2 linked regions of the Medicago truncatula genome follow. The protein of the gene in region 2 binds, or shares a complex with, the protein of the main gene of each other region. Links are inferred from orthologs where the notes say so. Each region holds a gene or a part of one and is shown on either strand. Other genes may lie near its edges.

Region 1 (6,986 bases), on a different chromosome or scaffold from region 2:
TGCTTAGATTTTAAGTCAAATGTATGCTATAAATAGAGTAGCCATCCATCACAAATAATCATCTTTTCTTGGAATGCAATATGTGACAATTGTCTTTCTAATAAAAGTTCATTTACTTTCTTGTTATTTATTTTTATGCTTTCTTTCTTCTTCTCCTTGTCTACGATGAACATTAGTGAGTAGACTTCTCTTGTCTTGGGATTGTTGGATAAGTCTAATGACATAATCCTAATCAAACCAAGCTTTAAACCTTAATCTTATGTAACCCTAATTCCTTATCTAAATTCACCGCTTTAACATGGATCAACCATTATCAAACTGTGGAAACGAAAGTGGAGGGTTTGATAATTGTTTATCCATCATCTCAAATATCAATTCATAAAACGAAAGTGGAGCTTTGATATTCGAACAAGTGAATTTAGACAAAGATTGTAAAGGCAGCGAAATAGTCTTTACAATCTTTGAGACATATAGTTTCGATCTTCAAGGGAACTAATAATGATCAAGTCAGCGAAATAGGCTTGGTTGTTAGAGGAACCAAAATCTAATAGTAATCAAGTCAGCGAAATAGGCTTGGTTGCTAGAGGAACAAAAGAGAAACTGTCTTGAGAAATTAGGTCTAACATAAGGTTATAAGTTTAATAGTTTGGTTTGTGAAGGACTTGTCATTAGGATGAACCAATAATTCCAAGGCTTTTATCTTTTCTTTTCTTATTTGCTTTTAATTAAAAATACAAACCTTTCTACCTTATAAAATCTTCAGTTTAATCATGATCTAAAGTTAATTGAATTCATAACTCCCTGTCGGAACGATACTCATATTTTACTACTTCGGTAAGACCGTGCACTTGCGGTTTTATCTCATCATCTACTCGCGAGGCGAGTTAGGGCGGTTTAACTCTTCACAGATGACATGGCACAAACCCAATGGTGAAGGAACCTCAACTCGCCATGGCGAATGAAGGAGCTTGCGAGGCGAGTTGATGCAGAGTCAGAATTCTATAAATAGCCCACTCAATCATCTCAGTTTTTGGGTATTAGTTTTTCATAGTTTTTCAATTGTAATATTCTTGGAGAGAGAGATAGGGCTTGTTCTTCATAGAGTGAGAGTGATAGAAAGTGGATTCTTCATCTTTTGTTGAGAAATCACAAGTTGTATTGAATCTTGCTTCTTCAATTCATTCTTGCAAGGCTTCCATGACAATGAGTAGCTAGATCTCCTTTGTTGGGATTAGAGGTACTTGATCTTAGCTTAACATGTAATCTTTTGATCTATAAATATATGGTTCTAGCATTTGATTTGATATTGATGTTATTCTTGCACTTTAATGTTATCTTTGATTTAATTGTGATTGAGAAATACTTTTGAATCTAGGTTTAGAATAACCATCTATCAAAACATAGGTTCTAGACATGGAATCGATGTTTTGATAATCACCTTGTGTATCCAAACCTAAAGCTTTGTTATCATTCAATAGATTGAGAAATCATCGATTGAACGATAAGATCGACTCTTGAATCATTCAATAGTTTGAGACATCGACCATTGAATGATACAATTGATTTCACAATATTGTTTGGACACGAATAGTGTTGTCGAGGGATATGTGATAATATCAAAGAAAAGCTAGAATCCATGTATGGTCATTAGGTTATGTGCGACGCTTGATCAAGGAACTCTAATCCTAACAAGTTTTACGCCCTATTAATCTCAACTTTATCATTTGCAACTTAGTTATTCAAACAAACAACAAATTATCGTTTAACTTAGAATGATATTTGGTGTCGAACGGTCCGCGATATCGCACTAGTCCCTGAGGAGACGATACAAATACTTACATTTGTTTGATGCAAAAATACTACATCAATAAACCATATAAATCGAGCATACATGCCATGATATCAAAAATACATCAACATAAATGATCTCCAAGTTCCAATAATGGGTAAACCTCCAACATGAATAAATCCAAACAGATAAATCTAGGAAATCTAACAGACACCTAGATCAGAGCCATCCTAGACTCAACTAAACCAATACTAGAGATAACTCCTGATATCCTCCAAGCATCAATCAACTCACCAGAGCAACTAATCCTGCACAGCGTCTACCCATCCATACAGACAGGTAGGCGGTCAAACCACTGGGGGTAAGTATTACATCATTATAATCCACATAACAGTTAGACATCAATAAAACAATTCAAATTCCAAATAATTGCCATGAATAATCAACCTCAACAATAATACATAATGGTAAATTCAAATATCACAACCAATCACTCATAACCACAAGTATGTCAATCATTGTTCCACATTTAGGACTCATGCAACAAAATGTTATGTCCCTAAGCATGACGCATAAATGCATGTGGTACCGAATCACCTCAAGGTCGTCACCTTCGATGCAACAAAAACATCGTATGTAAGATTTCACACCCGTCTTACATAATCTCCGAAGTAAAAGAGCTCAACCCTTTTACAACTACAAGACTCAACATGACTATGATGCATGGACATACAGGTAAGGACTCAAAAATGCAATCACCTCCAACAACAATATAAATGACAACTTCCAAATATATTGATCATCTCCACAACATTTGCATTATCAAAAAATGATTGTTGTGTTTAGATGCTTGATTTAGATTTCTTTCTTTGTGAGTTATCTAGAGGATTGTTGAGGTTAGATGCTTGACTTCAAATGATTGATTCATTTTCTTCTATGCTTTTTTATCTTATTTCAAGGTTTTTACACCCTGCAACATTTTTCTTTATAAAATGTTAAGAGTTAAGCTCACATTTTTTCGTGGTGATTGGAGTTCGAAACCCAAACCTTGCATATATTATGCATTGTCTCTAGCAACTGAGTTAATCTCACTAGGATAATTGAGCTCATCTTTTAATACAACATACTCTATTTTACTTTAAAAAATGTTTTAGGGGGGTGTATTGAATTTATGATTTTAAAAGACTTTTTGATAATAAAAACATCTTATGATATTCAATCAAGACTTTTATAGAATATAAATAAATCTCATGGCATTCAATCAAGATAATCAAAAAAAATATCATTGTTCACGTTAGATACTGATTTTATAGAATATAAATAAATCTCATCATTTATATTATTGCTTCTCATTGTTGTTGTTCACGTCCACTCAAGAAAAATATCGTTGTTCACGTTACATACCGATTTTATTTGGAAATATTAATTGTATTTTCTTTGAAATATGTTCTTTCACAAGAACATGATCAAAGCTTTGAAGCATCATGTGGCTATCATTTTCTGTGTGTGTGGCGTGTTTGCTTTGTTGTTATTTTACAACAGCCCAATGATGGAAATAGGTTTCATGGAGAGGTATAGGATTACCAACTTCATCAGCTACCTCGTCGTTGAAACTCTTGAGTGCTATGTGACCTCTTGGAAAATCAATATTATATTAATATCTTTTTATAACTGATCCAGGTCCTAGCTCGGGACAAAAAAAAAAAATTGATTTTATTGTATTCACAAAAGAATTTGAGCATTTTTTTTTTCTTCTAGATAATCTAATGACTAGAATTCATGAATAAGTGAATAAATGGGATGTCTGGGTTCGAACCCCAACCCCTGCATATAACAATGCATTGTTCCTGCCAATTGAGCTATTCTCACGGGGACTTAAGCATTTTATTTTATCTTCTCATTGTTGTCGATGTAAAAAAATCCATTCACTCTTGTAATATTGAATTATTCTTAAGAATCATACAATCTTTTCAAATCATAAAATCTTAAAAATTTATGTTATAAATCCATTCAAAGTATAGTTTGAAAATTCTGATTGTGAAAAGTCTTTTAAAATCCTACAAAATCAAAACAATCACACAAAATTCTCATCCTTCTGATCAAAATTGGACGGATACGAGGTCTGAGGGTGACTAAACTTGACTGAGGTCTGAGGGTGTGAATAGCAATTTACTAAATTCAGTTCAATCATCCCGTTGAATAAACGCTACCGTAAGCAAAACCCTGAACCTAAAATCTCAAACCCCTCCTCCTCATTTTCAAAACCTAACAGAAAAAATCCCAATCACCACCACTCCATCACTTTCTCACTCGCAACAATGTCGGGTTTCCCATTTGGATCTTCATCTTCCACCCAATCATCATCCTCCACATCAGCATTTTCATTCGGATCCTCTCCATTCGGATCCTCACCTTCCCCTTTCTCCACCACAACAAACCCTACCTCCACCGCCACTGCACCTTCTTCCTTCAATTTTGGATCCTCTTCTTCCTTATTTGGTGCTTCTCCCGCTTCCTCCACACCGGCCGCTGCATCTGCTCCTTCCATTTTCGGTTCTGCCACCGCTGGCTCGCCGTTTGGTGGTGGAACTCCCTCAACTCCGGGGAATCTCTTTGGCGGAGCTTCATCGGCTTCAACACCGCTATTTGGAGGAGCGGCTTCGGGTTCAACAACGGCTTCTACAACAATGTTCGGAGGAGCGTCACCGGCAACTTCTACGGCGTTCGGATTTGGTTCATCTGCTTCATCGACTCCGTCGTTCGGAGCACCGTCCTCAGCTTCTTCTACGCCGTTATTTGGAGCACCGTCATCGACGCCGTCGTTTGGAGTTGCGGCGTCATCGGCTTCAACGCCGTCATTCGGAGCACCGTCATCGGCTTCTTCAATGCCGTCATTCGGAGCACCGTCATCAGCTTCTTCAATGCCGTCGTTTGGAGCACCAGCCGCTTCGGCTTCATCGACTGCGTCCTTTGGATTTACATTTGCATCATCTGCTTCATCGACGCCGTCTTTCGGAGCACCATCATCAGCATCTTCCACACCGTCGTTTAGTGCACCGTCATCGGCTTCTTCTACGCTGTCATTCGGAGCTCCGGCTTCTACGCCATTGTTTGGAGCACCGTCATCAGCATCTTCTACTCCGTCCTTTGGTGGAACAACCTCTTCTGCAGCAACCACGTCTTTTTCACTTTTTTCAAAACCCTCTGCTCCAGTTAGTACTATAACCGCAACGAATTCTTCTAATTCGTCAGGGTTTTCATTAGGAAACTCAACTGCATCCGCTTCTCAACCAGCATTTGGTTTCGGCAATGTGTCTTCGTCTCCGGCGGTGGCGGCATCTTCAGTGTCCGGTACACCGGCTGCTGCTAAGCCAGCGAGTTCTTTCTCGTTTACTACATCATCGGCGCCGTTGTTTTCGACCTCGACTGTGACTACTACAACAGCCTCCACAACTACGACTGGTGCTGCGATTGTTTCGGCTTCTGTGCCTGCTTTTGGTGCTACTGTTGCTGGATCTTCTGCTCCGGCGAGTGGTGGATTTTCGTTGTCGGTTGCTCCAGTGGCAGCAGGGTCTAGTGGAGCTGGCTCGTCATCGGCCAGTAGTGGACCGTCGTTTGCAGGTTTTGGTGTAGGAAGCTCGGCGTCTACTGCTTCGACAGCTTCTTTTGGGACGGGATTTCAGTTTGCTAATAAGACTTCAACTCCGGCTGTTTCAGCATCCACTGCTCTTACATTTGGTAAGCCATGTTTTTTGAGTTCGAGTATGTTTATTGTTGTCTTTGAGGTGTGTGAACTGTCTTTGTTAGTGTTAGAATGGAATATTTTGATTTTCATATATGATGCCTCTTTTTATTGAGTTTATTTGTTGCTTGCACACAAATGAAGTTGTACTATAGAATATGGTACACGAAAATGTTGAGAGTGAGTAACTGAGATGTAGCATGGTTTTGCGTTTGAAGCTCCAAAAGCACGTTCAGTTATGCTCCTGTTGCGATTTCATAGAAGCTACAAAACTAAGCTTCTAATGTAAACGTGGAAAAGTTGCCATGTAACCAAGCAGAGCGTAACATAGAGTGGAGGGAAAGGGAAGTATGTAGATAATTACTTTAAATTACATGTTACAACTTCGTAGGTTACATAATGTTAGTTTAATTGGTTAGAGTTTATTAGTTATTACAGTTAGGCAATCCTCTAATTGCAATAGGAGAGGAAGGGTAAAAATAGAGAATGTAAGTGAAGCGAGTTAGTTAATCCATTAGTTTTTGGAGTGAGAGACCAGGCACTCAAATCTTTGTGGAAGACTGATATTATTGTGTATAAATTCTTGCTCGTCTTGAACCTCAATGTCCATTCATTCATGGAGGATATCCAAATAAAATTTACTTAATTTATTTCTGTTAATCTCTTATATTGTGAGTTTGTATCTGTAGTAACTCAATGAAAAGATGGCGGGAGGGAGAATTTTACAAGTAGAGTTAGAGTATGTTGTAAGACAAACTTGGAAGCGTTTGTGCGTTGTTTTGATTCCTTGGTCATGGTTATATTATTTGTTGTTACTTCTGGTCTAATTTCCTGTTAGGAACCCAAGAATTAAGATTCCAAACGAATTCCTTAAAACTGGGCAGAAATGAATACACAGCAATAATTCTAACTAGGATAAAGATTGATCAACAAAATTGTGAAAAGAATTCTTTGAATATCTTTCTGTTATTATCAATTGAATGGGATGATAGGATTGAAACAGAAGATACAAAAGGTTTGTAATGAAGAAGATAACCTTGCACTCAAGGCTACCCCAAGGGAGCACTCTCCCCTCACTAGAGCATTCTCTAGTTTACAATTTTCATTAAATGAATTCCTAATCCTTCTAAAGGGAGGTAAGTCCTATTTATAAGCAATAGGAGATTAACATCAATTAAGACAGAAAGTCTACCAAACTTAACTACTAACCCCTAATTAACTTCTTAACACCAATCCTAACAAATTCCCCTTGATTCCAAGTCCTAACATTTCTGTTTATTCATGCATTAGTTTATTGGATATTTTACTGTCATTTATTTGAAAAATTTGCTGGTAAATCTAAATCTGAAGGTAATTATTCATGTTGTGAGAATTATGAAATTAGTTAGATTTACAACATCTAATAGGGCTGCTTTATACCTATAGAATATAATGGGTTAAGTTTATTACAAAAGT
Region 2 (7,043 bases):
CACTTATTTTAAAACGGAGGAGTAATTGGTTAGAACCTAAACCAAATTAAGTCTGAACATATATTTTGAACAAATTAGACAAAGTCCTGATTAAAAAGGTTCCGTATTATTAAAGCCGGTGCTTTAATACTTAGGCTAGCTCACCAAATAGTCGACCTAACCATTCAATAGCACAGACCTCGAAATACTTGCAAAAATTTTAGTCCAACAAAATGCTTTTTTTGTACTACATCATTGACTTTGGTTATGGTACTTTCAAGTTCCAACATAGTCGCATTGAGAGATATTAATGCTCCAAATTAATTTTAGTCCTATTGTCATGTAAATGCAATTCACAAAAGGATGATATTTCAATCGTGTAAATAAAGTTCTGTTTGGCAAGGACAACTTTTGAGCTTATAGTATTGGAGTATATGTTTAAGATAGATCTCTTTGGAATAACAATTTTTTTTCCAGCCTTTATTTATTTTTGTCAAGTTTTCGTGCCTTTGTTATTCTATTGGGTTAGGTTTATATATCCATCTTTTGTTTTTCCTTTGTCATAAATAAGTTTGCATACTTAATTAAAATAAATAAATAATAATTAAAAATATATTTTTATATCATTTAATTCTTTTTGAAATATTATATCATTTCATATTTATCAACTAATTTAATGTTAAGTCTGTCAGAAGAAAAAAAAACTAATTTAATGTTAATTTTATCAAACGTTACAAATATAATACACTATCTTATTCACAATTAACTATCATCATTTCATATTTATCAACTAATTTAATGTTAATTTTATCAAACGTTACAAATATAATACGCTATCTTATTCACAATTAACTATCAGTTAGCTATCCCTGTGAGCTTAACTCAGTTAGTAGAGATATTGCATATATATGCAGGGGCCGGGGTTCGAACCCCGAACACTCCACAATTTAATTGTGTGAGCTCTAACCACTATACTACTTGACAAAAAAAAAAACTATCGGTTAGCTTATCCGTTGCATAATCATCATCTAATATAAGTTAACTTATCCACCTTCCATTACTTTTTACCCAACAAAATCCAAAACACATTTCCTATGGTACTCGTAAGGATGAGTAGCCATCTAGGGTTTAATATATTCATATTTAAATATTTATTTAATGATATAATTTCTTGAATACTCCTCTAATAATATGAATTTAATTTGTCAATAATTAATCTTTTAATTTTATGGAACAAATGTGCATGAATAAAACTTTTGAAAAATGATTTTTCCATGAGATTAAGATATTAATCATAATTAATTTTTCTTAAAATCAAAATCATAAGGAGTACCTGGTAAGCTTTGATGAGGGGAAGGTCAATGATGGAGGGGTTGTTGGCTTGAATCCCAGATATGGATTGAAGAAGTCCTAGATTGTGTAGAGAGTGTCTCACTTTAATAGAAGCAAAAGAGTCATTAGTGAGCAAGAGAAGTGGCCAAGTGAGCCTAACACAGTTGAAACCCATGGATTTTATTCCCTTTGAAATTACATCAAGAGGTTGATGGCTCAAACCCTCAGCCACTGAGGTATCTAAATGTGATGCCCAATTAACACATGCTAGTTTCACCCTCTTTTCACTTTCATTCACGATCCACCGTCCATTGGTGTGAAGTGGAAGAGCCGTCACCCTTACAATGGAGAGCAGTAGTAGCACCATTACTGACATTGTTGCCATATTTGGTAACCCCCAAGAGCATCCACTCATATTCTGTGTTAATATTTCAAGTACTATATGTTAACATCATATCATGTCATGTGATCTTAGTTTTCACATACATGCATTGGGATCAATATATACACTAATGCCCGTGACTCGCTTAATATTTGTAGAGACAAAAGTCGACAAATTTTGTAGTAATTACTTAACTAACAACAACTTTAATTAATAATACTCTCTCCAGAGGGAGTACTATCACACAAACTTTTGAGTTATAAAGGACCAATTATATATAAAAATAGAAAACCAAAAGAGAAATTCTAATATGGTCACAAGATCAAATAAATAATGTTTGGTCACACACATAAAGAAATATTTATTTAATAATAAAAAGAAAATTGATAAAATAATGATTGAGTATTTTAAGGATAGTCTTTTCTTGTAGGTAGGGATGGAAATAGGCCAGGCTGGCCTACAGGGGCCTATGGTCTGACCTGCTTAAGCGTGGTCTGACCTGACCTGTTTATTAAAAAGGCTAGGCTTAGGCTTTTTAAAAAGTCTATTTAAGTAAATAGGTCAGGCTTAGGCTATCAAAAAAGCTTATGAAGCCTAATAGGCCAGTCTGTTTATGCATGTTAGACTTCATAGTGAACTTTTTAAATAGACTTTAAAGCTTTATAGTGAAATAGGCTTTTAAGGCCTTATAGTAGTGATAGACAAGTCTTACACTGAAATAGGCTTTGAGGCCTATTAAACCTATTTAAAAGTAGATAAAATGGAATGTTTAGTGACTTTAATAGTAAGTAGGCCTGTAAATAGGCTTTCAGGCCAGACCAGAAAAAAAAATAGGCCTATGAAAGGCCATAGGCCAGGCTCAGGCCTGCAAAAATTTTTGTAGGTCAGGCCTATTCCCAACCCTACTTGTAGGATGTTGGTGGACAATAATAAATTCAAACATTTAAGGTACCATAGAAGAGGAAATATGAAAGCAAATAGAGAATGAGAGAGAAGACATGAGAGGAGAGGAGATAGAATGGAGATGAGAGAAAGAGGAGAGGTACGAGAGGGAGAGAGAGAAGGGAGATAACGGGGCGTAGAGTATTATATGTTATATTTGATACTATGCCCCGTTATATTATACGTTATATTTTATACTACTTGTTAGATTAATTGAATCTATTTTTTAACTATTTAATTAATATATTTCAAACATAATCGATAATTGTCATTCTTTGCTATTAATTGTTGATATTATTATATGTTATATTTTATTCTAAACATATTATTTTATTATATATTAATAAAACAATTTATATTTTAATCGCATCAAATTAAATCGGATCAATTTTTTTTAAAATAGTGATCTAAACCAAACTAAATTGCAAGTAATATTTTTTGGTATGCAACTAGTTTTTACTTCAACACTAACTAAAATCGCGATATGATATCAAGAAGTCCTAGCATAACTGGCAAAATGTCAAAATTGTTAGGCCGAATGTCATGATTGGGGTTCAAACCCCAGTACCTCCATTTGTGTGTGAATTTATAATGGCTTTGCCATTTCGTCTACCTACAAAAAAAATAAAATCGCAAAGTGATCACCTCTAAATGAAAGAAGAGATAATTATTTTACACATTTATCAAATAAGGCGTTGAAACATCATTAATATGCTTGAAAAATATACTACTATTTGTTATAGTATTAATTGACATGACCGCGTATTATTTGATGTCTATGTAAATAACTTTAAATTATCAATATAGTATGACGATCAAACTCGAGATAAAAACGCATTATCGATAACTTTATCAAATAATACGTTGGAGGGCATTTTGCACATAAGTGCAAAATTTCAGGGGGGTATTTGCAAAACATCATGTTCACTAACAGAAAAATTTGACGGAGGGGGTAAATTGACTAACGTTGTGAAATTTTAGGGGGGTAATTGAAGTTTTGTTAATTTCAGGGGGGTAATTGATGAAACTTACAATTTCAGGGGGGAAATTGACTATTTACTCGATTAAATGGTTGAAATTTGGTGTAAGTCTTTTTACTTACATCTGGTATGTTAACGGATCATGCTTCATTAAAAAAAAAATATATATTTGTACAACTATTTTCTAACAACATTTTAACAACTTTTTCTCTCATACTTATATTATCTTCTTATTCTCTCTTCCTTTTTTTTCTCTCTATTATTTTTGACCAATTAAAATAGAGAAAACCAAAGTTATTCTATCAAAGAATTGTACAATATCACTATTAAAAAAAAAAACCAACAAACAAATAAAGTCGATGGTTATCACGAATTAGCGTTGTTGTTAAGCTTAAAATCCCGGTTTCTCCTTATCCAAACAAAAAACACCGTACTATATATATATATAAAATCGGGGTTTCAAATTCAAACTTCACTTCCACCTTCTTCTTCTTCTTCTTCGCGATTCATTCTCCGAACAATCTTTCCATAACTTTCTTCCAACTCTACTCACTACATATTCATCAAGAATCAAAATAATGTAAGTTTCAATTTATTTATTTTACCCATTATTATCACTAAGATTCTATTTCAATTCAATATTTTGTTTAATATTCATAGACAACATGAATTTGAGTTCATTAATTATGATATTTGCAGGGGAGCTATGAAATTGGGTCGAGTGGATGATGATGACATTGCTGCTGCTGATCCTGATTGGAGTTTCGATGCTCTCGTCTCCGAGCTCAATGCCTTGGAGAATAATCTCTCCGCCAATTCTTCCACCCCACCTTTGCATTTTCATCAAACAACTTCATCAAGGTACCCACATTCCAAAACCTTATCAATTCATTATTCTTTTTTTTGCACACCAACTGTTTGTGAAAATAACCGCATTAAGGTTATGAATATGAAGCATGTCATTATTGTCAAATTGAACTTTGTTGATTTTTTAGGGTTAACTTATCCGGTAGGAAAGAAATTGAGAAAGGTAGAAGGTTTGTGTTTCGTGCCCCTGAGTATGAGACGGACAGTGAGGATGACGACGACAAAGCGTTAGTAGTATCGGACACTGGAAAACACTTCACTTGTGATGAAATTTATCTGAGGTGCCTATTTCATGAACCGTAGCTTTATTCTCATATTTCAAATCATGATAAAGTCGATTTGATTTGATAGTAATATTTTGTCATTTCCTTTGGTGTTTCAGCGACAGTGATGATTCTGATGTTGAATCTGCTTTGGAAGTGCAACCTTACTTGATGAATAAAGTTGGGGAGGTAGAAGGTGCTTTGATCGAGTTAACACACGATCATCAACTGAGGGTTAATGTGAGTGGTTCTATTGATACCAATTTGACATGTCAGTTACAAATTGAATAGCTAGTCATTCTTGGTTGGCATATAACTTGTTAATTGCGTCATGATTTGTTTTGTGTTGTATAGCATACTTTTTCCTGATCTTTTCGATTCACAGGATGGAATTAGAAATAAGATCTCAGCATTGGAGATAGCTCTACTGAATGAAAGTCAGAACTCTATTTCATCCCTTCTTCGAGTTGAGAAATTCAAAGACACAAGGCAGGAGTTGGATAAAAAGTTTGATACTCAATATCAGCGCCAAATGTAAGACTCCATTGTCTTGTCCTGCTCCTTTATCTTTTCTTTTCAAGGCAACATGATTCCTTCATTCTACAACTTATTTATCTTGTCAGGCTTAAAAGTAAGCATTGACTATGAATTACAGGCTCCTATAAAATTGTCTACATTCTTAATGTGCTTTATGAGAGGTTCAAATAATGGGTTTTTTTGCATGACAGTGATTTTGTTGTTGCACCACTACCTGTAGAGATCCATTAAGCATTTTTTTACCATTTGTTTGAGCGAGGCAGGGGCATTATATGTTTCACAATTCTCTCAATAAATATTGGTGAAAGGATACATGACTGATCTGTTTATACTTTATAGGAGGAAGACTGGAAGACAATTCATTATGATGCACATTAATTTAAAGTCGAGGAATCTAATTTTATTTTATAAATTCACTTGTATGAATATTGGGCTTCACTGTGTGATTTGATGTTGATTCTATATTCTATTTCTCCTGTTGATAACTAATATTTTACATATGCAGCATATTTTCTACTAAACCTGCTCTTATATCACCCAAAATACTATTTCTCTTGTTAGATATTTGCTGTGTTTGAACTAGTTGAAAACAAAGAAACTAATTATTGACATCTCCAAACTTTTTGTAGTGCAGAAGCACTTGATAATCAGTTGACAGCTGTTCAACAAGACCGTGAACTCAGATCACAAATAGAAGAAAGGAAAATAAGAAGTGATGCAGCGTATGAAGAGGCCAAGAGAAAGGTTGCTTTGCAGGAGGAAAAACAACAGCAAGAAAAGGCTAAAGCTGAAGCAGAGGTACCATGCCCTTTTATTTTAGTTTGATTTTGTTATTTGGAAAAAAAATTATACATGTACTGTCTTCAATTTTCATTTCTAGTTATCATCTGTTCACAACTACAAAGTGAGGTGTTGGGTTACTTCTTTTTTTTACAGACATGTTTGGAGAGTCCTAAACTGCAACCCATACATTTACTGTTGCATTCGTTTGGTCTATTCACTTTACCGGCGACTAGCCTAAAACTTTTTTTCACTGATATTTACATGTCCACCACTATATGGATCTTGTTAATGTTAGTTGAAGTATACATTTTTGCTACCAATCTTCTTTATAGAAGCTTAAGCCCAAATGACCATTCATTCACGATATTTAAATGTTATGGTGCAGGCCAAACTTAAAGCCGAGGAAGTAAAACAAGCTGCATTGGAAGCTGAGAAAAAAGCAGTGATGGAAGCCAAAACAAAGGCAGCAATGGAAGCTGAAAAAAGAGCAGCAGCAGAAAAGAATGCTGTAGAAAATTCCAAAACTGTTACTTCTGGTGTGACACAAGAAACCGCATCAAGCCTATTAAATACTGAAACCAAGGAATCCAGTATGGGTTTTCTTTTTTCACTTTTAGATCATATCTTTCCAATGTCAGTTTTTTCCCTTTACCCGTTTCTCCTCATCCAATATGCCAAAATACTTTGCCTTATTCTTTTACTACCATTAAGTTGGAAATCCTTTGTTTCTCTGTATATATATTAGTATACTGGTAAAACTAGTTATCCTCTTCCTTGTCTCATCAATATTTATTTGATGAAGCTATTTTCGTGAGCAATAACTTCGGTGTCACTAAGACTAAATCTCCTATATTTTCTTCAGTCTCCACATTGTTAAGCACAAAAGTTCCGTTTCATACACTCTTTTTTTTGTTTCTTTTTGAGATATATATGGGATCTAATTCTTCAACATAAGATTTGTTGTAAATCATGAAGTTG

What was found. Proteins that work in one complex are often made in the same cells at the same time.
Region 1: protein GLE1 (region 2) and nuclear pore complex protein NUP62 share a complex: the UniProt entries of both Arabidopsis thaliana proteins name them as parts of the nuclear pore complex. The link is inferred for Medicago truncatula from reciprocal best matches to the Arabidopsis thaliana genes GLE1 and EMB2766.

What each region holds. Positions count from the first base shown.
Region 1 is NC_053048.1:21,855,330-21,862,315, reverse strand, and holds the start of nuclear pore complex protein NUP62, read left to right. Parts: upstream 1-3,957; 5' UTR 3,958-4,107; coding exon 4,108-5,527; intron 5,528-6,986.
Region 2 is NC_053044.1:42,616,297-42,623,339, forward strand, and holds the start of protein GLE1, read left to right. Parts: upstream 1-4,035; 5' UTR 4,036-4,193; coding exon 4,194-4,195; intron 4,196-4,314; coding exon 4,315-4,476; intron 4,477-4,610; coding exon 4,611-4,763; intron 4,764-4,864; coding exon 4,865-4,985; intron 4,986-5,130; coding exon 5,131-5,279; intron 5,280-5,911; coding exon 5,912-6,080; intron 6,081-6,450; coding exon 6,451-6,655; intron 6,656-7,043. Other genes in the region: glycosyl hydrolase 5 family protein, read right to left, coding at 1,313-1,726. UniProt on the Arabidopsis thaliana protein: Required for seed viability.